Linked DNA regions of Astyanax mexicanus. The protein of the gene in region 2 purifies or fractionates together with the protein of the main gene of each other region. This does not show direct contact. Links are inferred from orthologs where the notes say so. Each region holds a gene or a part of one and is shown on either strand. Other genes may lie near its edges.

Region 1 (10,775 bases), on a different chromosome or scaffold from region 2:
GGACAGGGCGGTGCCACGGTTGTCTGCTCGAGCCGTCCTGCCAAAATATACGAGCAATGATTTATTATAGCATTAAATATGAATAATTATAAATATCATCTGGATGTAAAAGAGAAATTAAAAAGGATTAATGTTTACCTGCCAACTCTGTGGATATAAGATTCAACAGATGTGGGAAAATCAAAGTTGATCACATTCGCCACGTTCTGGAAATCGACCCCTCTGGACACGCCGTATTCTTTATCTTTACCCCTGAAAACAACAATACAAACTCAAAAGGTTAGATTTAAATAAATTCAGCTTATTAAAAAAATAATTACATTCGTTTCATTATTATCTCAATGCATATTTTAGGAAAGAGATGAACTGTGTATAAAATACATTATATGGCCAATAGTAATAGGACACTCCAAACCAGAGGCTTTGGGCTCTGAGTGGTCCAGAGGTCTAAGGTGCTGCCACTATTTCACACCTTAGGGTCTTATATTGAGATAGATGTTCAAACCGTACGTTTTATTCTTCCCATTCTTCTTCTTCTTCTTTTTCTTTCCTTTGTCCTCGGCGCTCTGAGAGGAGGCTGATGGGATACTGAGCACCTGCTCGTCTGTAGCGATGATGTAATCATAAAATCCCTGGTTAAACTGTGAGATGATGTGACACCTAGAAGATAAACAGAACATCCAAACATTAAAACATTATGTACACAAATAGCTCAACATCTGTTTGAATAAGCTTGGCATTAATTCATAATATGGATTCTAATAACACACAGGGGAGTCATAAGTACAGTATTTGTGAGAGAATCTCCTGTGGTCAGAGAATTTCCTGTTTGCAATTTGATTCACACTTTACACATGCATTTCTGGACAAGCTGAGACACACAGAAGAATCGCTGAAAATGAAAGAAGCATGTGGACTGAGGCGTAATGATAATTGTCCAGTAGCACTTTAGTCCCATCCCAAAGAAAAACAAAAAACGGGAGGGGTAGTTTGTGAGAGGCACTGAGTGATGTATGGGTTTAGACGCAGGGCAGAAGGGAGAGCTGATTGGCTGAGCTGCAGCAGTGTGCTTCTGATAGCAAGGAGATGCAGATGGTTGGACAGTATTATTGATTAACTGATCTGCATATTGTGATGTGTCTGCGTACCAAAGTACGCAGAAACATCATCCTCTCCTATAGCACAGCTGTACCTGAGAGGAGCTGCAGAGGCAGAAACTTTTTTAAGCATTTTTTTAAAGGTTAGGAAATGTTTATAAAAATTTTAAGTACTTGCCTGGAGTGAACGGGCAGCTCAGAGTTCAGCACGCAGGCAGGAATGCCGAACTGCTCCAGGAAGAGCTTGAGTTTGTAGCAGCGGTCCAGCGTGCCCACGAAGATGAGGGTCTTGCCGCGGACCAGGCCCAGTTTGAGGAGAGCGTAAATCACCAGGAACTTTTCGTCCTCCTCACATTTCACCGTGTACTGCTGCAGCTGAGCGCTGCCCGGCAGGTTCGAGCCTTCCAGCTTCAGGGTCACCTACACAGAACAGGAGGAGAGGCAACTGGATTATTAACAGCTAAAATTAAATCTTAAAAATTGGTCAAAGACAGCGTGGTGGGTGGTAATGATGGTAATGATCGTGACAGGCGGCTTCTGGCTAGAATTGTCCGTGTATACAGACAAGCAATCTCATTTCCACGGTTGTTTCTCTACATGAGAAAAGGTTCATGCTAAAGCAAGAACGGTACTAAAACTGTGAAATGTGTGTTTCTGTACTTACTGGATTGTGCAGAACCAACTCTTTCAAGGCCTGAACGTCATCACTGAGAGTAGCAGACATCAGGAAAGCTTGGTAGATCTTGGGTAAGTGACTGTGGGGGAAGAATAATAATAAACTGTTTATCTGAACAGCAAAAGAGCTAGCACTTATCAAGGCTAGCAGCTAATGCTAATACTGCTTCAGTCTCGGTGCTGAAGAAACTAAACTGAAACTCCTGTATAACTCTGTACTTCAGCAGAGTGGCTTTACTGCTCCTAGTAAAATCTATACATACAATTATTTTTTTCTTTACTCTGACAATTTTGGGAAAATTTAAGAATTTTAGGTGCACATTATAGTGCAAAAAATACAGTAAATGTTTTGGTTTTCTGACATTTAAGCATGCTCCATAACTGTGTCCAAATTTTTCTAATGTTATGGTAAAGAAACATTTATTCCACAAGCTAAAACAACATCACAACATGTTGCTGCTGCTACCACCACCATGTTTAACAGTGGTGATATAGTGTTAACGAGATAGAAATATCTTTACTCATCCAATCACATGAAAGCGAATGTCTACATTGTGGTGCACAGCATGACACATAAGCCCCTGTCTAGTGTCCAATAAGTCTCCAATACAATAAATAAATACTGTTAATTGTTGTATAATAATAAAGTCTGAAACACTCACCAGATGAGGTTTTTAAGATCAGCCTCAAAACCGAAAGAGAACAGAAGATCAGCCTCATCAATGACCAGCATCTCCAGAGACGAGTGCAGCACCAGGTTCTGAGCAGAAATGTGGACCTGCACTCGCGATGGAGTTCCCACCACAATATCAGGCTTTTCCATTAGAATGGGCCTAAAGTACAAAAACACGCATAAAAATGCACACAATTATCACAGTTATCAACTATACATCTACATCCCGAGCACCAAATTGATCACATTATTCTAATCAATGGTATTATTAAAAGTGTTCTCACTTCTGTGCAGATAATTCAGTTTTTCCTGAGATATCTGCCACCCGAACATCTTTAGCGCAGTATGCAGTGAGCTGCCGGATCATTGTCTGCACCTGATGTCCCAGTTCTTTAGTAGGAACCAGAATCAGAGCTCTGACCGCCTGCTCCCCCTGCACAGTCTAACACACAACAAAAAAAAGACAGCCATTGATCAAAACTTATTATCTCAAATAAAATGACAAATAAATAATAATTTATTACAGAAAGTAGAAACCACCCTCTGGTGGATTATCAGGGCACGGCCTGCTCCATAAAAATACATACAGATTTATTTTGAATTTTAATATCCATTTAGTACATTTTTTGAAGTCAGCTCAGATTGTAAAATGTTTTAAAATTCGTAATATATGTGTATTTATTTGATAATTTTATTTGATAGGCTCTGCAGGTATTGGTATAATCATCTGGAAAGGGAAAGTGTCACAAGTCACATGGTCAGGTATTACCTGTTTAGAGGTGAGGATCTGCTGGATAACAGGAATGGCGTAAGCCGCTGTTTTTCCTGAACCGGTTCGAGCTCTGGCCAAAAGATCCTTTCCCTCCAGAGCCAGAGGAACGGCTTTCTCCTGAATGAGGGTCGGCTGAGCCCAGCCCAGGTCTGCGATCGCCTGACAGGGTTAAAGGAACACGTAAAGGCAGTGAGAATGCTACAATATATTATAAATGCTGAATTTATATACTTGTAATGAAATACTAAGCTTTTCAGAACTTTAAATAGATATATTCTACTTTAGCCAATTCATGTAATGCTTTTTACAATGTTTAACGCTATCAAAAACATACAAAGACTTGTTTTTTTTCTATTGTATTAAACTTTCATAAATAATTTACAAATAGAAGTGTTCCAAAGTAACTTGAAATAGACTTATATTAAAAGTTAAAACGTTTTTACAATACGATTCAGTCCTACAAGAAGTGTTATTAAACTTGTGTGGATGAAAACATTTTTAAAACACTGTTTTTTATGCTGGACTTTTTTTATTATTATTAAATAAGGTGTAGGTCTGTCTTAGTAATTACATTATTGATTATTGTACAATATGTGGACTTCTAATTTTTGCTGACCTTTATATCGCTCATTAAATTTCTGATTTTATATTTTCTTTTAGGATACTTTAATTACAAAGCCTGTATAATATTCACAATTAAAAGCTCATTACTCTTACACTGATTATTACACCTGTCATTGTATTATTATGCTATTACACTAGCAATATTTCTGGGGGTTACATTTGTCTTAAATTGACATTATTATCATTTAACGACAATATTTATGAGACAATATATTATCAACACAAAAACAGTTATGTGTTATTGTGACAAACCTATGTTTACTTTAATATTCTGGTAGAGTACTGGCGCTGTAAGTATGATTACACAACACAAACACTTTACAGAAGCATAAATACATAACCTAAAATGTTTAATCATTTATTATTTATGGATTGGAGGGGTATATCTTTACGAGAAATCGATTAAACTGAAGATTTCTGCTTTTATTGGGAATATTGGCTCTGCGCCTCTGTTCTCGGACATGGTGCAGTAAACAGCGCGGTGATTAAAGGCTGAATTTAAGCTGATTATTACGTTTTTATTACGGTATTATCTGTTTACACACATCCGCATTTCACACACCGGTACCGCGTTGATCAGACAGAGATAAATACCTTTAAAAGACGATCATCCAAACCCATCTCGTGGAAACAGAGCCTGTCGTCTGCCATCTTTCTCTCCTGCCCACGTGGGTCCGCGAGGAGCGGAGTAATGAGGCTCGAGACGCGGCAGAGAAACAAACAGCGACCCCGCCTGGTGGCGCTGCGCAGTTACACATACAGAACATAACATTAGTCCTTTAAAAAATATTTTAAAAAAAAACAATTTTATTAGTCTGGGGTTATTAATCATTCCATGATATGTTCTAATGATAGATATATAGTTATTTTTTTCCTAGCCCTGTCACAATATTGGTGTGGACGATTTATTGTCCCAGAAATTATTGTGCTAAACAATATTGTTATCATTTTAAGTGCAACTGACATAATGCTAATGGAATAGCATAACAAAGGATTCATACCCTTTTGAAAAACAAGAAATTTGGAATTAATCATACTCTAAAGAACATATTTTTTTGTATTGCTTGTATTTTTTTGTTGTATTCTTATATTCTTGAAATTATTATATGTTAACATATTGCAGTTCCATTCACTAGTTCTGCCACTAGTAAGTTATTATTAAATGATACTAAGTCATAATTATGATAATACCCACAGACATCTTAGTATCTCATTATTATGACTTACTATCTCATAATAATGATGTACCATCTCATAAAACAATCCTTAGGAAACGTGTGCTTGTGCATCACTTTAAAGGGTGCTGCCTGTTTACTAATTTAAAAAAGTAAGTTTTGAATTTGAATTTGAACTGCTCTAAACAGTAATTGAGTAATAGTAATTCCTACATTTAAATAATACTGAGATTCATTATTTTTCACCAGCCCTACAAGAAGTGGTTTTGCTCTCCTGTGGCGTAAAACATTTGCACTATTTTGACCAAGCGCTGTATTATTATTCATTTATTTTGTTTATTTTAATTAATTAATTATTTTTTTATTTATTCTAATGATCAGTAGATCCAGAACCGCGGCAGATCATGCTGCGACTTTAGCGCAGCTCCGCTCCGGCCGCGAGGTGGCAGCAGCACTGCGCCCTGGCGGTGTCACCCTGCCGCAGTACCGCCCCAGCAGCAGACGACGAAGACCACAAAACGCTACACACAAACCTGAGGTGAGCCTGCGATTAAACACTAAAACATCATATTAACAGAATAAATAACGTTTAAGGAGAGAATAAACAGCTGTAGCGTTTAGTGGACGTGTTTTCTGGCGAGTTGGTAGCAGCAGTGTTGCGCTAGTATTACTAATATTCCTACAGTTAGCTGGGTAAACTAAGCTAAGATACATTATGATATTAGTTAGCTAGCTTAGCTTAGCTAGCTAATACCCAGCTAGCTAGCTAGCTAGCCATGGATCACCGGGTTCAAGCTGAGAGACATAGCGGGATTTCAGTGCTTACAAGCCGTAAATTAGACACAATAATATATATATTTACTGAACACAGATCTGCAGAAGGGGTTTGTTATACCAGAATTGTGTCCTTTACTCGGATACTAAGCCTGTTTTTGCAGTGCTCCATACACAACACACAGGTTAACTAGGCTAACTAAGCTAGCTATCGTAATTATTGTCTCAACCCCAGCCATATGTTTATTTCAACAAACTCAACTTTTTAGAGGTAATCTATAGATGTGTAGGAATATTAACCATTACCTATTTTATATAAATGTTATATCCGCATAGTGACATTCTTATGTAGGCTCTTAAATGACCATTATCCTACAATTAGGATTCTAACAGCTTTTCTAATCAAACAACTCTCTGCAAAATAGTTGTGTAAATGATAGAATTTTGTCCTTAATTCTGAGATCAAGCTTGTTTTTGCAGTGCTTCATACAAAACACACAGCTAGCTACCTAACTAGCTAACGTTATCATTGTCTGTATATTATACTGTTATAGTGTATAATATAATGTTATATCAGCCTGGTGGTAACATACCTTATCTAAATTAGCAATATCCTACAATTATAATTATATCACGAAAAAATGTGGGCTGTTCCTTTAAGACTGATTTGTTATCTAAATGTGTGTTGACTGGTTGCATGGAGTCTGTTTCACTGACTTAAAGGAGAAATCTGGTGTGAAATGAAGTCGGGGTTTAGTGAAACATGATAACGAGTACAAAGTTTTATTGAATAGCCCACCTCTGTTCTCCCCCAGCATTTTGAAATACAGCACTTTTAGCTGACGCACCCAACAGGTTTACAATGCTAGTGATGGGGCATAGCATTACCTATTAATAAAAAAAACAATTGGTTGGAACAAACTGTAGCTAACTTGTTTTACTGTGTCTTTTAAAATAAAATGGGGGGGGGGGGAATTACCTGAGTGTGCCTTCTGTGGTCACTCTAAGAATTAAAATTGGAATGATAATTGAGTCTGACTATGAAACATCAAATGCTGAATGAATGAATGAATGGATGTTTTCTTAGATGAGGCAGCGGGTCTTCACCGGAGTTGTTACACAGCTACAGGACCATCATGGGATGGTGGACCAGGAGGTGCGCTTTCCTATAAGGTCAGTCTAGTTTTTCCTGTTCTCTCCAGGTCAGGTAGTGATGAGTTCTGGCTCTGTTGACCCTACACTGTACTGTGTCTCTAATTAATTCAGCTAATTTATCAAGCACCTTATGGGCTGGACACGGAGGTTGTAATAGGTTTTAAAAATGTTTATACCAATACCATACCTTGTATCCAATACCAAAGTATGGGACTCAGTTGTTTTTACAGTCCTTTCAGTCTGTACATTTTTGGCCTCGAATTTCGATTCCCAGCCCTGGTGTGGATTCCTGTGCACTGGGTTCGGGAATTCATAATTTAGACTACAGTGAACAGCATAAGAGCGTGACGTGTGGTATGACTAGGTGCTCACAGTCTATTTTCTCTGCTCCAGTGTTGTTGTAGGGAGGGTGCCCTTGGTTGGTGAAAAGGTGTTGGTGAAAGCAGTCCAGGATTCTCTGCAGCCTCTCAGCTGGACTGCTCAAAGGGTGCAGGCTCTTAATGGGCAGGTATGTTGCAGTTTTTTTTTGTATATTTTGTGATTTAAAATTGTTTTTTATTATACTGGTATCATTTTTTTTAAAGTATAAAAGACACCCACATCATGTTAATTGTGGTGTTCTCTATTAAATGCAGTCTGTATTGTGTTCATTTTGCTGTTTACTCATTCAGCCATTTAAGTCTCCACCTCCACTGTTACCATCCATGTCTGCGAACATGAAGCCGGGCATTTTGGGAAACAAACCTCAGCCTCTTCTCAAATCCCCCAAAATTCCTCCTCTAATTCCTACTATGCAACCAAACCCAGGTCAGTGATGAATACCGACCTCATTCTGATTGTAATTCTGAATTCAGTGGCGTAAGTATATCCTGATTTTACTGAATCTGGCTGGTGCGTTTTAGGTGGGATGCACCAGATGCCCCATCACCAGCAGATGCCGTGGGCGGGGCCGTTTGATGGTTGGGGCGGGAGCAGGAAAAGGCACGCTGAGCCGGTGGGAGGAAGAAGAGGTGGACGCTGGTGAGTCACAGAGTTACAACACAGAGTTATAAATGCTTCAAAATACATTTTTCTTGTCTTTCATTGCTTACTTTTTTCCCACTGACCAAGAGGAGTTCATTGGGTTTGTTTATGTATTTGTTTTAATCTAAGGCCGTTTGCTTCTCTAGGTATTTCTGATTATTTCAGGCTTAGTTCAGGTTTAAGATATTTTTGTTTATATTCTATCTAATTTACAGTAAGGAATTTTAAATACATTTTGTCATTTTACTTCATGAAAATGAATGTCCATTTTAAATGTAATTACCATCACTGCCCACAAACAACTATGCATCCTAAACACTGATTAGGTTTCCAAAAAGAGTGTTAGTTAGATAAGCCAATGATAATTATTCAGGTAGTGGTGTACACAGTGGTGCAAATGGTGTAAACCATTTTTTCAATACATTAGTGGTCCTGTTTTGCTTGAGCCATTGCACTGCATTATACTGCCAGTGTATAATCAGTGAGGCTGCTTCTTTCCATCCATATACAAAAATATTGCGTAGTATTTATTTGATCCCTTGTTAATTTTGTAAACTGGAAATTTAAATGAGAATCTCCTGAAGAACACTAAAGATGAGTCGTGGGTGGGTCTTTCAGCATGACAATGACCCAAAACTTACAGCCAGTACAACAAAACGCAACTTAAGAAGTACATTAAATCATGTTGTAAATCATGTAGTTTGGCTTGAGTATCAAATACTTTTTTTTGACCTAATCAATACAAATAAATTTATATTTTTATTTAATTATTTTGTTCTGGATTTTGTTGAATTTCTGTCTATTACTACTAAAATAAAAAAAGATGTCTTTAGATTGGCGTAAACTTACAAAACACAATAGCAAATGATTATTTTCCCCACTGTACATAACCTTTCAGAGAATATACACAAATACAAGTGTACAGGGAGTACAGACAAAAAGCTTCATCCGTTTAACGTAAATTAAATTTGATATTGGTAACCCACTCAATGTGTTTGTTGCTCTTTGTACCACAACTCAGGGAGGAAGGTGGAAGTTCTTGGGGAGGCGACAACACACACCTAAAGAGGCGACGATGGAAAGCTACTCCTGAAGAAGAAGCACCAAAGAAGAGCAGCCCAGTAGCCACTCAGAGCGTCCCGCTCTTCTCCTGTTTTCCACGAGACAGGTTAGTCTGATTACAGGACATCAAATCAAACCTTTGCTTATTGATAAAAATGCTGTAGGTATAGAGTGTGTTTGTTTTGAGAAATAAACAGATTTATTCCTGTATTTCTCACTTTCAGCCAGGCGTTGGATAGTCTGGAACTGCAGCGCCGGTATCCGCACCTCCACGCCCCGCCCTCGCTATTTCACGTGCAGCTCTGCTGGCCAGAGGGTTTCCCTCCCAGCCAGCCGCTGCCCCTCGCAGGACCATGCATTTTCCACGTGGGCACGAGCCAGCCTGAGACGACAATGGACACTTCTGAGTCCACAGACTCTGCTGACAGCGGCTTTTCTGTTAAGGTACTTAAAGCAAAACTATAAAGCATTCTTTGACGTTCAGTTCAGGAAAGTACAACACTGTTATCAGAATCCCCTCAAAGGGGCTCCTCCCACTAGTTGGTGACAGTAGTATACAACCAGACTGGAACATGTTCAGCAGTATCCATGCAAACCAGCTGTTCACTACTTATGGAAACATCACACCATAATTTCAACCTATCTTTTTTATGTGACAATATTTGATTAACTTTACATGTTACGTATTTGACCCTGTCATTTCTTATTGCTCTTGTAGGTGATGCTGCTGTCGATGCCTGGGATCAAGGAGTTCTACTCTCAGTGCTGCGGCTGTTCGGAGGATGGCCAGGCACGTGGAGCTGCAGTTCACCCGATAACGCTTTTTAAGGTTAGTGTAGTCTCATTTAGTCTAATTTCTTTTCATTTACACTAAACAAGACATTTGTGGACATTTGTTTAAGCTGAATCTTGGACTCCACTGCAGTCCAACAGTGGCAAAACACCATCCTCGTCCAATCCACCAGTAACTTATCAGTCTTCTTTTTGTGTGCAGTTTCTGTTACTGGAGAAAGCAGGTGAGCTGCAGCTGCCTGGAGGTCAGTGGTCTCCCAAACTGGACGGAGCCAATCCGTCCAACAATGTCAGCAGTCTGATACGCACTGCAGTCCGCTGTGTGAAGGAGCAGACTGCTCTGGACCTTACAGCTTGTACACAGTGGTCAGTCCTTTTAGATAATTTCTTTCCATTATGATGTACGTCAGTAGTGCAATTTTTCACATTATTTTTTCTGCTTTTGGTTACTATTATTTAATTAGATTTCAAATAAAATAGGCTGTGTTACTGAAATATTTTTGGCTGTTCATGCAGCTACGCTATGCTATGCTAACCGTGCTGTGTATACCCTCCTTTTCATCCTTTTCAAGGCACAAAATAGCCGAGCTGAGGCTTCTGAATGGGGATAAGACGGAGACGGTGGTGATCTTGCTGCCAGATGTGTGGAATTTGGTACCGACAGCAGAAGAGTGGGCTCAGTCACGGAACGAGCAGGTTAGGGAGTCTGATATCTGAGAATCTCGCTGTTTACAACAGTGTTTATTTTGTTCCATTACGAACAGACTGCGTCTCTGTGGTTTTGCAGGATGATGGTTCTCCTCTCCCTGAGGAACCGTCCCTGGTGGTCCAGCCTGCTGAGGGCCTGACGCTGTCGACAGTCTCGCTGGCAACTTTAGTGGACCGGACCAAGGATGCGTTTGAGGTGGGCAACAATGATTCACAGGCACAGATGAATGAATCATAATAAGCCT
Region 2 (10,493 bases):
AAAACTCAATTTATGAGAAGCTAAAGAACACATCTTAACCAGGGGTGCCAATAATTATGGAGGGCACTGTATATATATATACACGCATATTTACATGGAGTGACCCAGGTCTTTCTGTGTGGAGTTGGCACATTCTCCCTGTTCCCTCACAGTCCAAATATATTGAAATAAATTTGACCTGTAACATACCAGACCACAATTGTAACCTGAACAAAACAACGTATTAACATTTCCTTCATATTGCAAAAAAAAATCCCTATGACTGGCTTGTTTTGAATGGTGAAATTAAGTCAGAAAAACAAGCTGGTATACATTCTCATAGTTCAGTACCGCCTCTACTTTTGAACGCTTTGCCATTTAGGAAGACATTAGTAACCATAGTAATTAGTCAACAGAGAAAAATCCACATTGTGCGTACAGGGCTTTCTTCTAACATTCAGCAACTCCAATATTCACATTTCTGTTTTATATTTGCACATTTTCTTCACATAGGCCCAAGTCCCCTGGACCCTCATGGACCCAGCAGGCAGAAGTCTGGATCTTCAGACTGGGTTTTACCCAGGTAAGTAAAAATATATATTTTTTTTCTAAGGAACATTTAATATAGTCTCAAAATATGTCTTTTTGAGATTGTGGTCTGTAGGGAAAAAACACGCTTGTAAGTTAAGCAGCACTGCACACGCCCCCATGGGATCACGTGTCTCAGGCAATTCAACAGTCAGTCCTGCTTTACAGCAAATACCAGCCCAGACAAGAGTGAGAGGCAGGCTAGTTTGTTAGCTAGTTAGCACTGTGTACTAGAATCAAAGAATCCCCCCATCTCCATCTATACACAAATGTAAAGAGAGTGTTGAAAAGGTGCAGGAGTTTGTTTTTACTTCTGTGTCCAAATCATATATCTGAACCATATATAAGCTTCACTGCCTACTTCATTCACCATGATTGGAATGTGTCTAATGACTTCTCAGCTGTGCAGACTACAATAAGTCTTTACCACTAGGAGGACAGAGCACTCTAATTGTAGGTGTGATTATATTTTCTCACAAAAACACTTACTGGCAAATGCACTCTTACCTCTGTACATTAGTTTTGACAATGTATTTTAATTATTCACTTGATAAAACCATATTGCCTCAATATACAGATAAAGATACACTGTCTCGATCTCTGTGTAGATGCTAAGGTTTTGTAGTTTTTATTCGTTTTTATATATTTTTTAAAGCTTAGTTTTAGTTTAGTTTTATTAGTTTTAGTTTTTTTTTGCACTTTGTGTTATTTGTCAGATGCAGGAGTCAAAAAGGTCAGAGTAAGTATTGTGTAATAAAAACTTATCAAAAGATAGCATTTAAAAACAAACTCAAATTGAATTACACAGAGAGAGGGGTGGGGATGAGAGAGAGAGAGGGTGATTGATAGAAACTAATCCATCCTCCTCATGGTGCACCTGTGTAGTAGCTAATTACCTCCTATTTCTTTTTCCAGTGAAATGTCATTGTTGGAGACCACTATGTGCTCCTCACCTCACTGAGCGATTATTCTTCATTCGTCTTGGACCTACTGCTACTGCTTGTGAAGGAAAGGTAAGTAGGGAAGGCTGTGGTGTAGTATTAACAAGCTATATGAAGAACAGATAACTGCACTGTAACCTACATTCGTTCCCTGTTAAAAGATTGAGAAAAATGTTTTATTTAAGATGGTGTTTGATGGTCAAGGTGGTTGACCAGTTTCATCAAAGAACACATAGTGTGGACAACCATCTACTTTTCGAATTAAACATGCTAATACCGTTCGACTGCAATGACAATGTGCCCTGCTTACTGTGCTGCAGTCCAAAGATGTTGATTCAGTGTGTAGTAGCATTAGATTACATTTAGCAATATATTTATTTTGACAGTCTATAGGTAAAGATACACTCGCTCTCTGTTTAGATTCATGTGTTGTTTTTTATTCATTCGAAAATAATTGCATATATGGTAGTCATGAACATGGGTAATTACTGATGGGACAATATTTCCAGAAGCCCCCAGTGCAAACACTGCCTCTGCTTGCACTTTGCCTTGTATGTATGTCATGTCAAGAATAATGTGTACTGTCTTTCTTCTTCTTCTTCCTTTTTTTTTAGCTGGTTCCTGGTTAGATCACCATGGAGTCCTTAAACATTCGCCTGCAGTGTGAAAGCACTTTTCTAGATGGTTCAGATATTTGGACCAATTACAGGAAGCAGAGGCAGAAAACAAACCAGAGGAAGAAAGGATTGGTGCTGTACTGAAATCTGACTCCCCTCGGCGTGCAGGCGCGTCACGCAACATTATAGGACACAAGCACACTGGGATATAATTTATTAACTGTAACAATATACTAAGTCTTACTTATACACAGAAATAAAATAAATCTAATGAGAATTTGTTACACTCATTCTGCTGCGGCAGATTTATCACATCACAGCAACTCGCCGAACACCTATCATTCTATAAACCAATTAATATAGAGTATAGAGAGACGCAGCCCACGTAGCTGATGATGAGAGGACATAGTAAAGTTCTTTTGTCCGCTTACTAAACTGCAGTGTGAAATGAAACCTAACCGGACCAAAAGGTACAGTGTAGCAAACACATGAACGTTGGTTCAGACCATGGTCCGGACTTTCAGGTATGAAAGCACCCTTAGTTTCATTCAATCACAGGACAGCTACTAATCATATAAAATATTGGTCCTTCATAATAGAAATGTACTATTGAGAGTTGTACAAGTGTCTGTGTTGCTTTTAAGGTGAGGAAACTGTCCACTGATCAAGGATTATAAAATGATTAACACAATCTGCATTTTTAAAAAGATAAGTTTGATTCTCTAAATGTACAGCTGAAATGCACTGATTGTCTTTGTAAAGATAATAACAAAGCAGTATGTCTCATGTTGAATGTTATAATGACAATAAAAACTATCACCCAATAAACTATGTTTAGTAGTTTTTTGTCTCCCCAAAGAGCAGCTAACCTGTAACCATAATATGTTTTAAAACAAGTACTGCTGTTATTTTTGGCTGTTTCTATAAGTTGGTCAGTACTGAATGTATTTATTAAGTTGAGAAAAAGCCTAACTTAAAAACTTAGAAATTTCTAAGAATAGAATGTTTTATGCAATGTGTGTTTTGTTATCTGTGAAATATATTTGACACTTCTGACCAAACCTTTATGGGTTTTTCTTTTTTTTTTCTGGCAAGCAAAAGTGAAATACTTTTTTGTAATTCCTGCTATGATACACACAAGATACACTTGAACTGTTTTGACCTCAGGTTGGCTTAATGCCATTTTTATAAGTGCAGTATTTGTATAGTTTTGATAAGCTATTGGTGATGGTACAAGATGTTACAATTTAGACAATGAAAATGTGATGCTTGCACAGTGAAAACACTTAATATCAATATTCACATGATAAATTGTAAAAAAAAAAAAAAAAAAAAAAACATTGACTAGCATTAAACTCACAAGTAATGTCATTTGGTTTGTAGCCTAATTAAATCTAAATCTAGCCTGTTTTGGGGCTTGAAAAAGAGCAGCCCCATTCCATTTCTGAGAAAGGAAAGATATGGAAAGGCAAAGGAAAATACCCACGTCTAGTCTGTGTGATGGGCTGCTCCCCAACCACTCTGTAATGTGAAAATCAACAGTGTTTTAATCAGCTGCACCTGCTCCATGGATAAAACCACATCTAATCGTTCTAAGGTAACGTCCTGTGTACGTTCTGTTTGGGCGAGAATAGGACCTGCTGCGTACGTTACCGAACGTCCTATAAAGGGGTGTTTGGGAACGTTATGTATGGACGAGAACAGGACCTGCTGCGGACGTTACCGAACGTCCTATAAAGGGGTGTTTGGGAACGTTATGTATGGACGAGAATAGGACCTGCTGCAAACGTTACCGAACGTCCTATAAAGGGGTGTTTGGGGAACGTTATGTATGGACGAGAATAGGACCTGCTGCGAACGTTACCGAACGTCCTCTAAAGGGGTGTTAGGGAACGTTTCATTTGGACGGTAATAGGACCTGATGCGGACGTCAGTTTGGTCCTACAAACGTCCTATAGAGAACGTTACAAAAATGCCCAAACAGGGACGTCCGCGAACGTCCCCGGGACGTTCCTTGTTTGCTGGGATTATGACAATTTTATTGTCTTAATAAAGTTATTATTATACTCAGTTTAAGTCTGTTTATGTTGATTGTGTAAGTGTAAACATAAAGCCCATGTATTGTTAAAGTCAGAGCTAAATATGAGTGATATTTTGTCCTCATAATTATTATAGCTAATTAAGTTATTAAGTTTCTCTGTTTTAATTTTGTCCAATTTGGAGTGCCTACATATAGGTTACGCAATCTTGTGTGGAATATTTACCATGTAAATGTCTATGTGTTTTTCAGCCTAGTGTTTACATTCTGCTCAGTTTAAGTCTGTTTTATTCATGTGTTAGGATAGCCTTTATTAATTATTTATTTACACATTTAGGACTTAATAAGTCACAGCTTAAAACAAAAGAATATGTGTCCGTAAATTTAAAATAAAGAGAAAAAATAAATAAACAAGCAATGTAAAAAGGAGAGAAGGTCACATTTTTTTATTGCCATGGCAACCATAATAAATATAAAATATTGCACCAAAGTTATAATATGATGTACATCATACGTATCGCATATTTGAGGTGAATAGTTAATTCTGGTGTGTTTGAGTAAGTGTAAAAGTAAATCCCACGTAAGCCTAGAAATGTCTACATAGACCATCAGTCTATCGAGGCACAAATACCTAAAATGTGTACTACCCTGTGTTCAAATTAAAGTTTTTTTTTTTGTCCTAAACAACCGAAATACCTCCTAAAACCATAGACTGTATATAGCTGGACAGAGGGTCGTCTCTCAAAAGTGAAGCCACCACAGGTCGGGCGCCCCCTGCTGTTCGGCTGCAGAAAGCCGTGTAACTCCACCCATTCCCATAGGTTTCAATGGCAAAACAGACAACTTTCAATCACGTTTTTTTCTAATATACTGTAAATCTACCTCCAATATTTTAATGCAACAGCTAGTGTAACCTCTGCTTATATTGTCAAATGTTTATATCCCCACAGAATTCGGTGTTTAAAACGTTATTCAGCTCTATTAAAAAAAGGTGTGGTTATTGTAAAAGGGCTGCTTATGGGCGGGACCATTAACAGACCGTCAGCTCCGTTCCGCCCCACTCGCGAGGCAGCCCTCAGGGGCGGGGTTATTCAAATGAGTAGGCTGCTCTCCACAGTCTTTCTCCCTCCTCTGGACTCTACTGCGCAGAATCAGGTGGCAGGATCGCCAACATGGCGGAAGATTTTGGCTTCATTTTCATTGAATGAATGGGAACGGAGATACGGAGTCCATCTTTTTTTACAGTCTCTGCCTAAAACTATTAAAGTGTAGCCAGTATAGCAATCGCTAAGAAAACCGAAGCAAGTGTCAACGCATGCGCAGAGTGCCACTGGCCTGAAACTGCTGGCTTAAATTCGTGGCTTTGCAGACAGACCCTTCTCGATTTGACAGCTGTGCACAAGTTGATTGACGGGTCGCCTGACAGCATGAACGCGTACCGCTGTCTCATAAGGAGCGGAGTTTATAGCGGGCATCTGTCTGACCTTCGTTTTTTTCTGTTTAAATTGATATTCCTGAAGTAAAACAGTGGCTTGTTCTAACAGTTCTAACAGACCCTCAGGTAAAGGTCCTGTTTTTTTTAGTAAGTATTTAGTAAGTTTCATTTCGGTCCATCAATTCATTAGTATACTTCGTCCATCGCTCTTCATTTTTAGCACAATAAGATAAGATAGTATCCTTTAATAATAATCCTTTATTAGTCAGTCACACTGTGGGGAAATCCACAGTATTACAGTAGCAAAGGGACAGCAAGGCATTCAGTAAAAAAAAGTGCAGCAGGATATCACAAGTGAAAAATACCACACCTTGATGTAGACAAGTATTCAGACACTACGCTGCCTTCTAAGTGAGATCGTGTGAAATGCATCAAGTTAGCATTTAGTGTATTTCGGACACAGAATATAACCATCTCAACACAAAGACAGCTAGCTTTGTTCATTCCCCTACATTGGCAGTTCTTTATTGGTGTTTGTGGGTGATGGCAGACAGTATAATGTTGCATGCAGGTCCTGCTTCATTGCTGCATCGAGCTCGAGGCTCCTCAGATGTCCGGGATCGTAGCTGAATCATATTGGGCAGGTATACAGGTCTGGTTGAAGGTGATGTCAGTGAGGGGTCTCTCAGCTGTGCTGCTGCGGTGTTGTTGTATGATCAGCAGGGGGCAGGTCTGAGTATCTGAGTAGTGAGGATCTGTGTGTGTGTAGAAGAAGAGCGGGAGGTTAGAGGCGGAGCTCGAGCGCGTTACTGCTTCCTTTTCCACAGTGGCAGTCAGAGAGACACCATGAAGGCGTCTGGCACAGTACGTACACATCACTTTTATACCCTTATTTACGGCGCTAGCCGCCTCTACTCACTTTATTATCTTATATAAGGTACTGATGTGTCGGCTGGGAGCCGGGCGGGCCGCTCGGGTTCGGTTTAAATGGGTTTTTTATAGTTTGATAATAGCGGGGCTGTGCGCGAGGACCAACATGGCGGCCGGCAGCGCTTGTGAAGACCATGCGGTGCGCGCGGCCGCTTTGTGCGCGTAGAGCCGACGAACAGACTGCGATTATTTTACCATTACTGTGGCGTCCGGTCCTGTAGAGAGCAGATCTGTGCTTTATAATCACTGTTTACCCCCGGGTAGATGAACCGTCCGGTGGTGGACGGAGTACTGGCGCTGTCTCTGGCCTGCTTTACTGATTACCCATACAGCTAACGAGCTAAGCTAACCAACTTACTGCTACAACATGAACAGATAGATAACTGTATACTACATTTATAATCAGATTAACACGTGTTTATAGTTATACGCACACTTGTACCTACTTACGCACTGTATGTATGTAATGTATGTCTGTGTCACTGATGGAAAGTGGTCTAGTTGCCTGTATAAGCTGTATTTGGTTCTTTCTAATAGTATTGGTGAAGGTCTGAGACTTACTGAACTGTTTAAACACAGCGAAAAATTATTTGCACACAAACCCAAAGATCATTATGTTCATGTGTAATGATCTTGCTATGTGTGCGCAAAGGAAAAAAAGAACCTTGTCGCCTTCCATAAGCTTGTACTGTGCCAATGGAAGTGAATTCAAGGTTCAACACCGTGAACTTTTTAAGGGTTACTCAGGAATTCGCACTTATCTCTACCCTAAACTTTTTTTCTTTTGCCCAATCTAGCAAATAATTCAGTGTGCATGGGTGGGGAAATAAAGTTATTTTTAAGCATCTGTATAATTTCAACTACGAGGGAGGAAAAAATATATTTTGAAAGCTTAGGCATCCCTGTGGATGTAGTAAATATATAAACTTTTTTTTTTTTTTTTTAATCGTTTGAAGCTGAAGCGCCCACAACATGCTGGAGTGTTTTAGGTACATGGGCACTGAATAAAAAAGTCAAGTTTACAACAAAAATATAGTAAGAAAAATCAGACAAAATGCTTATATATATTACACATATAGCTACATATTTTATTTATGACCCACTTGTACATTTTATTGTATTTGTAGATATGCTCTTAAGTTAGATAAAATCAACAAATGAATACATGTAAAATATGTCAATTTTTTGTTGTAACCTCATCACTGATTTATTGTGTACAGGCTTTGTGAAGTAGGATGGTTCTCAATTTAGTTTTTTTGAAATTCAGATTAAAACTAGTATGTAAACACCTCTTACCCGCATGAGTTTAGAATGAAGGCAGATTGGGTTCCTTTTACTAGCGCAGTACTACTCTTTGATTAGTCTAAATGACCGAAAGATATCTTTACAAATCTGTTTATTTTGCAGGTATAGTTAAGCTTATTTATAATAACTCCTAGAATAGTGGTTGGAAAGGCTGAGCTTTTGCAGGGTGGAAAATCTGTGTACATGAAATACATGCAGATTAAAATCCATGCCTGACTGCTCTTTCTCTTTTTGCCTTTTATTTTCTTTTAGCTTAGGGAGTACAAAGTTGTTGGGCGTCTCTTGCCCTCTGCCAAGAACCCAACTCCTCCTCTGTATCGCATGAGGATTTTCGCCCCCAACCATGTGGTGGCCAAGTCTCGCTTCTGGTACTTCGTCTCTCAGCTGAGGAAGATGAAGAAGGCATCTGGAGAGACTGTGTACTGTGGCCTGGTAAGTTTACAACTTTGCAATATTGATAGTGATAAATGTAGGGTGTTCTCAACTCTCTGTACAGAGGGCTGCATTTTTTATCTTAAATTATTAGTCTCTCTATGAAATCCAATATGACACTTACTTCATTGCACAACATTAACAAACACCTGCTTTGATTTAAGTGTTTAGAGCTTACCTTGTAATGGAATATACATGGTGCCTCTTTTACAGTAACTGAGGAGACTTGGCAAGGTGTTAAAAAATTTCACAAATGTGTTATTTTATCTCTAGGTTCATGAGAAGACTCCTCTGAAAGTAAAGAACTTTGGCATCTGGCTGCGCTATGACTCACGTAGTGGCACCCACAACATGTACCGCGAGTACAGAGACCTGACCACCTCTGGAGCAGTCACCCAGTGCTGTGAGTGCCAACACACAATACCACCACACCTAAGATTCCTGTCTTAAGTTCTGCAAATAGTATTGGTGGATGGCTTATGAATGATTCACATTTTTTTTCAAGAGAAAGCATGAAAATGAGTTGCACACAAACCCAAAGGTCATTATATTCATGTGTAATGTTCTTGCTATGTGTGCGCAAAGAAAAATCCAAGGACCTTGTCGCCTTTCATACGCTCTTATGTGCCAATGGAAGTGAATTCAAGGTTCAACATGTCAAACTGCCATTTTTACTCCTGCAGATTTTTGCTTCATTAATTTTAGTCCTGTTAACCCCATACTGCACATTTGTGTACATTTGCCTTATCTAGCAGCTAATTGAGTCTTGTGAAGTTAGTCATCCTGTGCTTGGTCAGGGAAATTAATTGTGCAGAGTATGGGTTCTCCTAGGAACAGGAGTGCCCTGTTTTAGTTAGTTGTTAGCTTGGGTAGTGTCATAATGAAATCTAGCAATTTTGTTTTTAATCTCAACAGTGATTTATACACTAACTTGGATAATAGGGTTATTTGATTTGTCTGATCCGTCTGATCCAAAATTGCGTCTCAGCTAGCTAACCGTTTTGCCCCATGTTTTGATTTTCAGACCGTGATATGGGAGCTCGTCACCGTGCACGTGCCCATGCTATTCAGATCATGAAGGTGCAGGTGATCGCTGCTAACAAATGTCGTAGACCTGCCATCAAGCAGTTCCATGTAAGTATTTCTTTTTTTTTCCTCTCCTTTCCCCCTTATACCCAACTGTCTACTGAGTTCTTACTTGGAGTTGGCTCTAAGCAGCAGGTCTCTCACTGTACTGGTCCCTTATGGCCAGCTCTGGTAAAAAGCCTGCAAGAATAAACAGCTGGATTCCTCTTCCAGATAAAGTCTACTGTCTTTAAATCTGGCGGCTTTGAACACTGGCAACATCCTCTTAAGTCTCAAGAACTGATGGCTTTTAATTTACTGTGACCATTTGTTAACCTGGCTCTTGTCTCTATTTAACAGGACTCCAAGATCAAGTTCCCCCTGCCCCACAGGGTTCTGCGCCAGCAGCACAAGCCCCGCTTCACCACCAGGAGACCAAACACATTCTTCTAAATTGTATGTTCTTGCTGTTAAGATTGCTGGGGAATTAAAGAAATATGACACAACTAAAGCTTTGTCTGAATTAATTATATGTAAAACTAGCTAACTTTAATGAAGTTAAACCAGCAGCAAGCAATATATCGGTGCATGATTTAATGGGTCCTTACTATGCAGATTTAAGCTTTATTTATGTCTTAGATTATTTAAATTATGCATTTTTGCTAAGTGACAGCCATTCGTGTCTAAGTTCTTGTTTTAAAACAAAAAAATAATTACTTCAGTTTGTAAGGGTTTTTTAACTCAGCCAGCCCAAAAATTTCACCTGAAAGTGAATGCTAAATTGCTTACAAGCTCATGTTCCTGCTTCTTTATGCTGGTTTTACAGGTAATTTGTGTTAAACAGACTACACAAATTGTTGCCACTGAGCAGCAATTCCTGTTAGTATGGCAGTTTCACCCCAAACTTGAGGGTTTCTTCAGAGCAACTGCAACAACTAAAATAAAATTTATGGGAAAACATAAAATGCAAATTTAAGTGCCCCAACCACAGTCTTCCTACACATTTTAATGAAAAATAAATACTTTGTATTCTAAATGTTGTAGAGTTACAGAAAATTTATTCAAATGGTTAATTTGGGGATTCCATAAGAGAACCACTTTTACTTTCATTAAGAACTACAGTGGGGGGGAAAAAGTTTTTGATGCACTGCTAAATTTTTCTA
Region 3 (11,122 bases), on a different chromosome or scaffold from region 2:
TTTAAATGTGCTGTAGTGATGACTGTACAGTAAATCTACCGTAGTGGTGATTATGAATGAGCTAGAGTGATTTATGTGTTTTATTTGTACGATTAATAGTTTTTGCGCTTGAAATGTCTTTGTTAGAAGACTGGAACTATTAAAATGACGTTGGCGCCCCCTTGTGGCTGTTTTAAGAGACTTCGTGTTCCTCAAGTTTGTAAAATATGGTAATTCACTACGGTAATAAAATGTAATAAAAAATCTTAGATGCCTCTGTAATGCAAATTAAACAAATGTCCTATTTTACATTACGTTAGTCATTTTTCACAGTTAAACTGTTCGCAATTTATTCGCCCAAGAGTAGCTAGTTAACTGGTTTGCCAAAACATTGGTGCCAAACATTTATATAACTATTAATACTTAATGGAAGCCTGTCACGCAAAAGTTTGCGCTCCAATTCAAACCACAAAATTTTGACACCAGAAAATTACATTTTACTCAAAGTAATTCAACACTTTATTGGTTAAATTCCAAGGCATTTTAACAAGACAAATGATCCCTTTAAAACGAGGCACTGCAAAACAAAATGATGGTAACTCGACGGACGGGCACAAATGGGTAAGATTAATTAAAATTAATTCCATAATTCAGTGGAAAAGCATCAGTATTGTACAGACATTTTCAGCAGCAACTGAAATTCATGCATTTCTATTCAACACTGCATTTCGTTACCCTATCCTGTTTGTTTGTGCTCATAAGCCAACATATTGTGACAATTGTAAGATGGCGCTACCAACTAACTACCTCAAGCTACTGTGTTTACAGTGTTTTTAATAAACTATCTGTGCACTTTTAAAGCTCTCAGTGCCTTTTTTTAAATGTCGAGACACTCAAATCTACCAATGAAGTGCGGAGCTACTTAATGAGCTTGTTGTTAATGGTGTAAAAATAGGGAACTTTGGCTAAAAGTGCTGTATTTCAGAGGTGGGCTATTCAACAAATGTTTGTACTCGATATCATGTTTCACTACAAACCAAGTCCACTTCAGACTTCTCCTGCATAACTTTATTAACAGGTATATATTTAACAACCATTCGGACACAAGCACAATTTTTGCTTTTCCATATTTGTGATTTATCCCTCATTCTACTGCTGTGGAGCAAAATTATTTAGGGAAGAAAACTCACACACATTTTATTCAGGTGATACATAGTCCTGTGTGTATTATACAGCTCAACATGACTCTGTAAAGCTCTAGTCTGCTTTACACAAAGCAAAGCAACTAAATGCTAAACCACAGCCAGAACAGAGCCACACATATATATAACATCTGCATTACAAGCAAATGTAATGCACAATATATGCACAAATGCTGAAACAGTTCCTCAAGTCTCAATGAGGGCATCAGCTGTGCGTTTTCTCTATCTGTCCATCTGTGTGATGAACTGAGAAAGTCTTATATACAAATCATGAAAGCTTAGTAGTTTAGGAAGATGTTTCTCCCCAAAGAACTAATACAGTCCTAAAGAACAGAAGAGAGGTTCAACCCTCCACATCATCCGATGCTCCCTCTGCTTCTGCCTGTTCCTCTTCTTCCTCCTCAGTGTCCTCTTCACAGCCTTCAACATCTTCACTCTTCACCGACTGTGTTTTGAGGACAATCTCATCATCAACGTCATCATCCTCTACTCTTATTGACTTTCTTCTCTCCAGGATTGAAGGGGTACATACTGGGGTGGCGTCCTGTAAAACAGACAAATCATTAATCAAATATTCTGCTGAACTGTTACAAATTAAATCCAATATTTCTGATAATTTTATGACCTAAACAATGCCATATTACATGTATTTGAGGAACAATACACACAATCCAATTAGTCATGCACCGATGTATTTATTTTCATTCGGTGTCATTTTATTCTGATTTTCCTAACTTTACATTTTCTTTTGCCAGTATAATTTGTTATACAAATTAAATATAATTTAATTTAAATTGTTATACAGAGTCCTGATCTGAGACTTTGGGAAATAAAAAAAAAATCAATCATGACCTTTACTAGGATTAATTATTGATGGTAATTCTGGTTATGTTTCATTTGTGAGACATTTTTTGTTTATTTAAGAAGAGATGGATATTTAAATGGAAAGAAAAAATAAATACAGCTATGTAGTTAAGGTTTATTTTGTGACAAATTACTGTATTGATTGTTATTACATCTGTGTAATTCAACATGGAACAATGGCAGACAGTGCATTTGTTTATAGCTGTAGTAAATATCTGGGAAATGTAGGTGATACTGCACCTTCAGAGCGGTTTGGTTCAAACTTAAAGGTAAACCAAAGATCAATTTAACCAGACTTAAAAATGAAGGTGTTAAAAACACCATAATATGCTAACATACATAATGACAGGATAAGTAGGAACACATAAGCAGTAGGGTGTAGGCACATGGGTTTCATTGTGCAGCTATATAAGCTGACAATAAGCTAAATGTACCAATTTTATGTTGGCACAGTTATCTTACTCCAGAAAACTAAGACAACTGGAGTAATTTTCAGACTGTGCCTTGAAATATGTTTCTTTACATCATTAAACATCTCTATAATTGTTCCACATCAGAGCTCACCTCACTACAGACTGATGTGTCAGCACCTGACTGAGCTTTCTTCGCAGGAACTTGAGCTGCCTGTAAAAGAACAGAACAAAAAGTGTAGCAGCATTATTGATTTAGTCCAACACGCAAAATATACGAAATGTTATAAGACATATAGAAAACAAGAAAACTTACGAATCCTGGAAAGTCATAGTCAATGCCCTTCTCTGCCAGTCTCTTGCGAAGCTTGGATTCTTTTCTTAGAAGTTTCCCTGTAACTTTCTTCAGATCTTCTGAGCTGTGACTTTTATTGTACCGTGCAACTGCAGGAAGTCTGGGCTTTTTAAAAATCCTCTGAGAACCAACAAAAAGTTTTTCATGGACCTTCTCTGGAGGAATCAGGTGACCTGTTCAAAATATTATATTATAAGTAAACAAGACATTTTAACACTGGCATTATACTGCACCACCGTAACAAAGAAAAAAACAAAAAAAACAAATTAAATTAATTTACTTTACTCACATTTGATCAGCCTCTCCCCAATAAGGTAGTTGTTCATGGTCTCAGCCACAATCTTGGCAACCTCATCACAGTCAAACTCCACAAAGGCATAGCCTTTACTCCGGCCAGTCTAAGAATGAAAAAGAGCAAGATCAGTCAAAATTATTTAATCAATTGTGATTGACACAGCTGCAGAAACATCCACAGCTTTTTAGCCTGTAGGCACATGGGTTTCATTGCACAGCTATATCATCTGGCAATAAGCTAAATGTACCACGTTTCTGTTGGCACAATTATCTTACCCACAGCAACGGCCATGCTGAAGGTAATTTTCAGAATATGCCTATATCCAGAACCCTACTACTATTTACCTATTCATCTTATTTAACTTCTTTTATCATCTCCTTAGGACACAATAAGGAAATTAAACACATTTACACATTTTATCTCAGTCTGAAATGAATTATTTCTAGAAAACATGACCCTTCATGCATACAATCAAAGTAAATATTACTACAATAAAAATAAATAAATAAAGGAAACCTGTTTGAATTAAAAAAAAAAAGTTCACCTTTTTACTTCTGGACAATCGTAACCTTGTAACTTTGCCAAACTGTGAAAAGTAAGGTCTAAGCTGCGGTTCAGCCAAGGCCTGGGGAATGTGGCCCACATATACCACTCCAGGCTTCAGGGTCTGAGAGGAAAAACAGAACAGGAGGGTTAAACAAGACACATACAATCAAACATAAATGGCTACATAAACTACGGTTAAATACGGTTAGATCCTTAAGGAACTTTTTTGCGGTTAATCCAACCCTAACAAACCTATGGAAGCTGCACAATGAATATTTTTAGAATTTACATGGCTATTGAGACCTCCCACAACACACACACACACACTTTTTGTAATATCTCTATTGTCAGTGTATAGTTTATGACGCACCATAACAGGTAAAGCTACATAAAATGAACAGAAAAAATCTGATTTACACTAAATACTCTGAATTATAACAATTAAAGTTAATACATACAAAATAAATAAGTATGGATGAGTTACATTATTTTGTTTCCTAAAACAAAACCAATATGGCAGATTTTCATATTTGTCCGGTAAAATAATGTTAGTAGGTTGATAAAATGAAAATAAAAATAATTGTTTTAAACAATATAGCCTCAGTAACAATAGAAAACGCATTAAAAGGACAATGCAATAACGACAACACCGTGTCATAGAGAATTAAAACTAATTTTTTGAAGGTCCTGAGAAAGGTTTGTAAGCACTTAACAGGGCTAAAGCTAATTTACCACGTGTTCCACATGTTAAAGTGCATTGAATTTATAATACACGAGGATTAAAGGGAAAAAACAGAAAATCAGTCACACTGGTAGTTTCATCATGACACAAACAGAGCAGATTTAAACATTTTACTGATATCTCACACAGTCCTCACTCATTAACTCTCAGCAATAACACTGCTGCTCTACAGCATGAGGATTAGTAGAGTGTAGCATAGTTACCGCTCTGGGGCGACCCTTCACTTGCTGGATTTTCTTCTGAAACTCGGCGTCCTCCGCGGGGTTCAGGGCGAGCAGCTTCGGGCTGGTCTTGGAGGACTTCTTGCCCTCAGTCATGATTAATATAAACACAGCTCAAATACAGAAAAAAACTATACAACTACACTTACACACACAGCCCGCTGCTTCGCCACCAACCACGTTTCTACTGAGGAAGAACAGCAGCGTAACACATGGCGGAAAACCGGAAATATTTCACAATAAAAGTCCCCCATCGACTCAAATACTGAAATACAGAGACCCCATCTGGAAAGGAGGACTCTGCACAAAGCACTGTCCTCTAAAATCAGCTCATTTGGTCATATACCGTGCCTAGTCAAATAAAATAAGTCGCCACCTGGATTAAACCAAGGATCAATTATGTGGGGTTGGGTTGCTGCAGTTGGTTAGGTCTGGGTTCAGCAACAGTATGTGCTGAAAGAATGAGGTCAGCTGACTACCTGAATATACTGAATATAGACCAGGTTATTCCATCAATGGATTTTTTCTTATAAGAGTTTGGTTTGTTACAAACGGCAGAGATGTAATAATGATACATGGCACTGTCACACATTATAAATATGTGATTTTATGCTGAAATACTTTGTATTATGCTCTTTATTAAACTCTGTTCAGTTAAATAATCTCAGTTCAGTTAAATAATGTTGTCAAATATAAAGCATAGGTTGAGATTTTGGTGTGTTGTTTTAATGATTTGAAAGTAAAACTAATGTGGTGTGCATGTATACTGCTGAACACGTTCTAGTCTGGTTATATTCTAGTGTCAGCAACTAGTGGGAGGGGTTCTGATAACAGTGTTGTTGTACTTTCCTGCATTCAGTTCATAACCAGTCTTTGTCTGGGGGTAGAGAGAGAGAGAGAGAGAGAGAGAATGTCTATTCAAACCTGGCCCTGTGTAAAAATGTATGTACATCTCTGCGGAAGGCTTTTTGAACAGATTTGTTATAATTACGCCACATTGGCCCAGGGCTTGTTGCTTCTGCCATCTTTTAGGATTTTCTCTCTCTCTCTCTCTATATATATATATATATATATATATATATATATATATATACATGTACTGGCAAATTCATGTACTGGCTCTATTCATGTACTGGCTCTTAAAATGTATATTGTATGTATATTCTAATAATATCTGTACCAGAACCTTAAATATTAGTTTGATATATACATATATATATATATATATATATATATATATATATATATATTCTGGTACAGATATTATTAGAATATACATACAATATACATTTTTAAGTGTAACAAATAAATGTCTTTTACACTGTTTATACAAATACTACTATAGTATATCAAACTCATAAATTATCCACTAAAACATACAGCATTCTGTCAAATGTATTAGCTGATACTATTGTTACGGACCCTGTTATGCAGAAATTGCTATTTTGATATTCACTGGCATTGTCAATTGGTACTGTAAATACAGTATTTTCCAGTGTAAACAGTATATACTAGTATTATCAAGCATTTTAATTGCTTTTGTCATGTAAAAGTCATTACTAGTTAAGACACAACATACAGATTGTTCAACCACATTTAGTAAAATGATAGATTGAAACTACTCGCCAATGTTAACTAAGGACTTATTACAGACACTATACATTAGACAGTATACACAGATTTAAAATGGAACATAAACAAGACGGTGCAGCCCAGTCCAGGTGGTTAAGAAAGGAGAGAGGGATGGCAGTAGAGGAGGAGGGACAGGAGAGGAGGAGGAGTTGTGAAGTGGCCCTCTGTTAAATAGATGTCACACTGTAAACAGATCATTCAGCTGCAGGAAGTGAGGGAGAGTCAGCATCTGGCATGGAATCTAAAATCATTTATTTTACAGTGAACGGAAGACCAGAGCAAGCAGAGTTCCCTGTTGACTGTCCTGCACAGGATGTCAAAGGTGAGGACACATTTAATTCATTTATTTATTTAGAATTATTGAAGGTTGTTTTATAAATAATAACGTAATGAAGTGGAGCGAAGGTCGAACCGTAGTTTGGAAGAAATATCATTAAATGTCAGGCAAATTCATGTACTGGCTCTTATTGCTATAAATGTGATGACGTGAGCAGGACTATGATGAGAATTTATTTAGAATTGTCAATTAGGCTGAAAGCATAAAAAACATGTAGTATCCAGCTTTATATATAAATTTCATCTGTACCTGTATTGATGTCCTCAGTGTTTTCCTATTTTCCTATCCTAGAAAGAAAGAGAAATAGTAAGAAAGACAGAAAGAGAAAGACAGAGCGAGAGAGTGGGAGAAAGTAAGAAAGAGAGTAAGAGAGAAAGAGAGAGAGAGAGATCTTGTTGAAGAGAATGGGCCACAGGTGGAGCTGACAAGGCTCTGCATCAAGTGCACAACATACTTCATGGTGTTCTCCTCAGAACTGGAGTCACATCCACGTTCACGTGGGTTCTAGACAGATTCAAACACAACATAAGACACTGCTCACAATTGGTCAATTAATGTGTGTACACTTTAAGTATCAGGATATGTCTGAAAAAGGCCAAGCCAGATACATATGAAGTGTAGCTTACCCAAGACATATTTAAAACAGATACAAACCTAATTAATCAAACCACTTTAGGGGGTAGAGTGAGACATATTTTTATTTTATTTGTATCACTTTGATTCTGAAGCTGTTTTTTTAAGGTAAAAACACTGATATATATAGTGTTGTTTTAACACAAGATTAAATGTCTTTGAAAAATACCAGAAAAATATAGTTTGGAAATGGATGGGTTGGAAATTTCCTTCTCAACAGAATTGGGATTTGTTTTGGCAGCAGCTATATAATCTTTAGTAAATATACAGTACATATGACCCTTTCCCAGCCTTGTGTGTGTGTAAATGTTTCTCCTACAGATCTGTTCCGATCAGCAGCTGAAGCTGGGCCTCACGATATCCTAAAGCTCTACAACCCCAAAGGCAACATCATCAACATCTCCCCTCAGCTGACCCCAAACAGCCCTCATTCCTGCTACAAGCTGGAGGTGGTTGCTGCAGACTGCAACAGTGAGCCATTAGGTATTCTCTGAATTAAAACTGGAGACAAGCTGGTGAACTGCAGAACTAGCTGTCCTTCATGATTGAAATGACAATATGGAGAAAATTCACTCATATGAGAAATCGATTGCTGTGATATGTTTCAGGTACAGAGCTGGCAGTGGCCTTGGGCTTCGATTTGTCCTCCATGGAGAAAAGGTAGACATACTGTGTGTATAATCTGAGTCCACATATTGTCAGACATGTACTTTTTAAATAAACTTAGAAAGTACACTTTCTCAACCAGGTTACAAAGCCTGGAGAAGAAGATTCTTACTGAAGCTAGTGAGACTCCGGCCATTGTTTATGAGATGAAGAGACAGGTGGAGTCGTTCCGGGAAAAACTGGAGGTAAACTCATATCTGTACATATATCTGGAAATGTCTTTCTTTGGCCAATATTTATCTAAAGTGATCAATTCAACCATAATCATTTAAATGGTTTGACAGACTAGTAAACCATAGCTTCCATTTGCACCATCCAAAATCAATCCAGTTACAATAAAGTTTCCCACAAATGTAAAGAACTCCAACCAGGCAAAGAACCATTTCCACTTTGAAAAGTCTTGGATATGTAAAGACATATTTAATTTGACATAATTTTCATCCCAATTTAGTCTTTTCAAAATACTTTCCCATGGTTAGGCCTCCACTATTACATGATGCTACCAAACTGTGTAGATACACACAGTTTGCATAATCTGCATAGAGCAGCATTGCCCATTGCCACACAGTTATTTCTATGTATAAGTAATGAGTAAATAAAAAATGAAATGTAGGCCCCGTCCAGGCCTTTAGGAGTTTAATCCAGGTCTATGCAATTCTTTTACCATTTTAAATGAAATCACCCTTTTCTTTCTGCCTGGTTGTGTTTATAAGTTTCTGTTCTCTTTAGAGTGTGGAGCACCTGAGCTGGCTGGGGCTGTTTAAAGAACTCTCAGAGAGACCCCATAAACCTTCACCGTTCTACCATAAGAGAACGCTGCGCAAGACACGTGAAGAGTGTGAGCACGTCCGGGAAAAGTTCCTCCAGATGAGGTGAGCTACAAATCTTCACTTTTAGTCCCTGCTCTGCAGCACTACGCAGAGTTTTTGGTTAAGTGAGTTTAACATTATTGAAATGTCTTCACACAGTACTCTGGAGGTCTCAGAGGAGGTGAGACAATACCTGAAGACACCCACCTTTGACAACTGGTGAGTTTAACTTAAACATCAACACAATTCAGCTTACAGTGAGGTGCAGGGAGGAGAACTGAGCTAGAAAGGGAAGGTAGGACATGACACCAAGGTACAGGATGAGATAGAACTGAGGTAGAGAGGGGAGGTAGGACATGGGACTGAGGTACATGGAGATGATGGGACTGAGGTACAGGGAGAAGATTAAACTGAGGTACAGGGAGGTGTGGAAAGGTGAGGTATGGGAAAGGAAATCATATTGTGAGAGCAATTCACTGAATAAATAACTCCAAAAGCAAAGTGAACAGTCTTGCTATCAGCATAGTCACAAGTGTGCACATAGTATAAATTATTTTACATTATATTTCACTATTTTTGGGACAATGATTTCCTATGACTTATTTAATAAAGGATGATTATATCCCTCTAGGCACAAGGTGCTAAAATATTAAACATCATTAGCCTATGTAAGTCCAACAAATGAGCTGAGCACCTGCTATAGCAAAATGAACATTCGCTGCAGAAGTGAAAGCGCAGCTCCTCTGCCGTGCATAAAGAGGCCAGAGGAGATTCAGTCCTTTCATCTGCCCAAAAGAACTCATATCAATATGAATGGTTGTTCCAGGGGCTTACAAATCAATAGCAGTCCTTCAGAACAGAGCACTCGGCTTCATGCTTTGAAGACTGTATTTATGCAGTGGTCTTCTGGATTAGTTTTTGAACCCAGGCCTTTCAGATTAACAAAACAGGGTTCTGCACGGATGCAAACACTGTTTGGACGTAAATGTGTGTCAGGTTTGTGTCTCTATCAAAGAACACTATTAAAGCCTGCTGGAGTGATAAAGGCAATGCGTGAAGGGGACAAAAACATGAACATCTTAGCTCGTGCAACTTCAATCAGAATGCAGGAATCAAAGCATCATGTTGTGGTCAGGACTAAAAATGATAAGAAAAGAATGATCCTCCTCACATACAGACATACAGAAAAACTGGGCAGCAAAACAAGTGGGGAAACCGGAAAAGCTTAAATTTCATGAAGTAACGTTAGATCGTAGGTTTTTATTTTGTTATTAATCACAAGGTTATGGATTTAATACCCATGTCCACTAAGTGGCATTATGAAAATAACAAGATTTTGGAAGGAGGAACATGTTTGAAGCCTGTTAATCTTATTTCCTATAAAATACAATCCTTTTCTTGCTTACATGTTCATAACCAACACATCTCCTCCCTTTTACTAATATTTTTCTCTACTGATGCCCCTCTTTTCTGTCTCCACCAATCAAAAGCTTGTTACTAAACATAACTGTAATTTCTTATATAATTAAAATTTTTGCTTTGGTTTTTAATCATAATCTGTAACATTTCCATAATTGCCCTTGGTAAAATGACACAACAAACTAACCATACATTTACTACATACAATTTAAAAAAAATTTTTTGCATCAAAATCCAATTTTTGCAGCATTTTTAGCTCATCAGATAATTCATTAATCATCTAATGTCCATACAGTGTGAAAAGCATGTCTCTGTGTTTAGGCAGTGGGAGGACGCAGAGATCATGGTGCTGCTTCAGGTGATGTATACAGACCTGGACTTCATCTCCACCTTCAACATAGAGCTGGACGTCCTGCAGCAGTTTCTCTATGAGGTCTACAAGCGCTACAACAACATCCCATTCCACAACTTCAAACACTGCTTCTGTGTCACTCAGATGGTGAGAGAGCATGAGAGAGAGAGAGAGAGAGAGAGAGAAAGGGATTGACATTGCAATCAGCTCAGCTTGACCACAAGTACTTCAATTGTCCACTCGACCTTCCAGGCATTAGTAAAGGGCATACTGCCTGATAGATAACTACTAGATAGCTACTGCTTGATTTGTGTTAAATATAGTCACAACAAAAAAGCATGGCTATTTTTGTTTATGGTTGATAGCAAACTAATACCTGATTAGGTGATGGTTTGGATTTCAAGGACGCAACTGATGTATCCTTCGCAGCCCATGGTTACTGACAATTCTCTGCACACATACAATGTGAAGGAGGAAAAAAACAGCACTATAAAAATGGGACTTATAATGAGCCACTGTCCCTCTCAATACAACTTTATTACTAAACAATATTTCTATTAAGTATTAGGATCAATAATCAAGATTGATTTTAACAGAACTCATAATAATGGGTAATTGTAATATAATATAAAGACTGGTTGACTAATGATCCCCAATGGA

Evidence for each region.
Region 1: the proteins of rpl18a (region 2) and ddx56 purify together in Homo sapiens (affinity purification with mass spectrometry; 3 studies listed by BioGRID and IntAct, counting the BioPlex papers as one, with this or other methods). This does not show direct contact. The link is inferred for Astyanax mexicanus from reciprocal best matches to the Homo sapiens genes RPL18A and DDX56.
Region 3: the proteins of rpl18a (region 2) and nifk fractionate together in Homo sapiens (co-fractionation; 3 studies listed by BioGRID and IntAct, with this or other methods). This does not show direct contact. The link is inferred for Astyanax mexicanus from reciprocal best matches to the Homo sapiens genes RPL18A and NIFK.

What each region holds. Positions count from the first base shown.
Region 1 is NC_064427.1:2,358,701-2,369,475, reverse strand, and holds the start of ddx56 (probable ATP-dependent RNA helicase DDX56), read right to left. Parts: upstream 4,561-10,775; 5' UTR 4,493-4,560; coding exon 4,436-4,492; intron 3,377-4,435; coding exon 3,215-3,376; intron 2,888-3,214; coding exon 2,730-2,887; intron 2,606-2,729; coding exon 2,435-2,605; intron 1,853-2,434; coding exon 1,762-1,852; intron 1,518-1,761; coding exon 1,276-1,517; intron 661-1,275; coding exon 511-660; intron 253-510; coding exon 139-252; intron 38-138; coding exon 1-37. Other genes in the region: ccar2 (cell cycle and apoptosis regulator protein 2), read left to right, coding at 5,390-5,554, 6,878-6,963, 7,339-7,453, 7,617-7,752, 7,848-7,965, 8,990-9,136, 9,255-9,474, 9,749-9,859 and 3 more. UniProt on the Homo sapiens protein: Nucleolar RNA helicase that plays a role in various biological processes including innate immunity, ribosome biogenesis or nucleolus organization. Plays an essential role in maintaining nucleolar integrity in planarian stem cells.
Region 2 is NC_064409.1:44,636,835-44,647,327, forward strand, and holds rpl18a (60S ribosomal protein L18a), read left to right. Parts: upstream 1-6,313; 5' UTR 6,314-6,444; coding exon 6,445-6,462; intron 6,463-7,117; exon of another isoform or gene 7,118-7,252; intron 7,253-8,085; coding exon 8,086-8,265; intron 8,266-8,538; coding exon 8,539-8,668; intron 8,669-8,787; exon of another isoform or gene 8,788-8,923; intron 8,924-9,289; coding exon 9,290-9,399; intron 9,400-9,690; coding exon 9,691-9,783; 3' UTR 9,784-9,841; downstream 9,842-10,493.
Region 3 is NC_064418.1:8,214,057-8,225,178, forward strand, and holds nifk (MKI67 FHA domain-interacting nucleolar phosphoprotein), read right to left. Parts: upstream 5,103-11,122; 5' UTR 4,711-5,102; coding exon 4,597-4,710; intron 3,773-4,596; coding exon 3,650-3,772; intron 3,420-3,649; exon of another isoform or gene 3,293-3,419; intron 3,209-3,292; coding exon 3,100-3,208; intron 2,984-3,099; coding exon 2,772-2,983; intron 2,670-2,771; coding exon 2,610-2,669; intron 2,547-2,609; exon of another isoform or gene 2,420-2,546; intron 1,726-2,419; coding exon 1,525-1,725; 3' UTR 470-1,524; downstream 1-469. Other genes in the region: si:dkey-219c10.4 (high affinity cGMP-specific 3',5'-cyclic phosphodiesterase 9A), read left to right, coding at 6,481-6,568, 7,538-7,699, 7,825-7,876, 7,965-8,067, 8,612-8,754, 8,851-8,910, 10,432-10,609.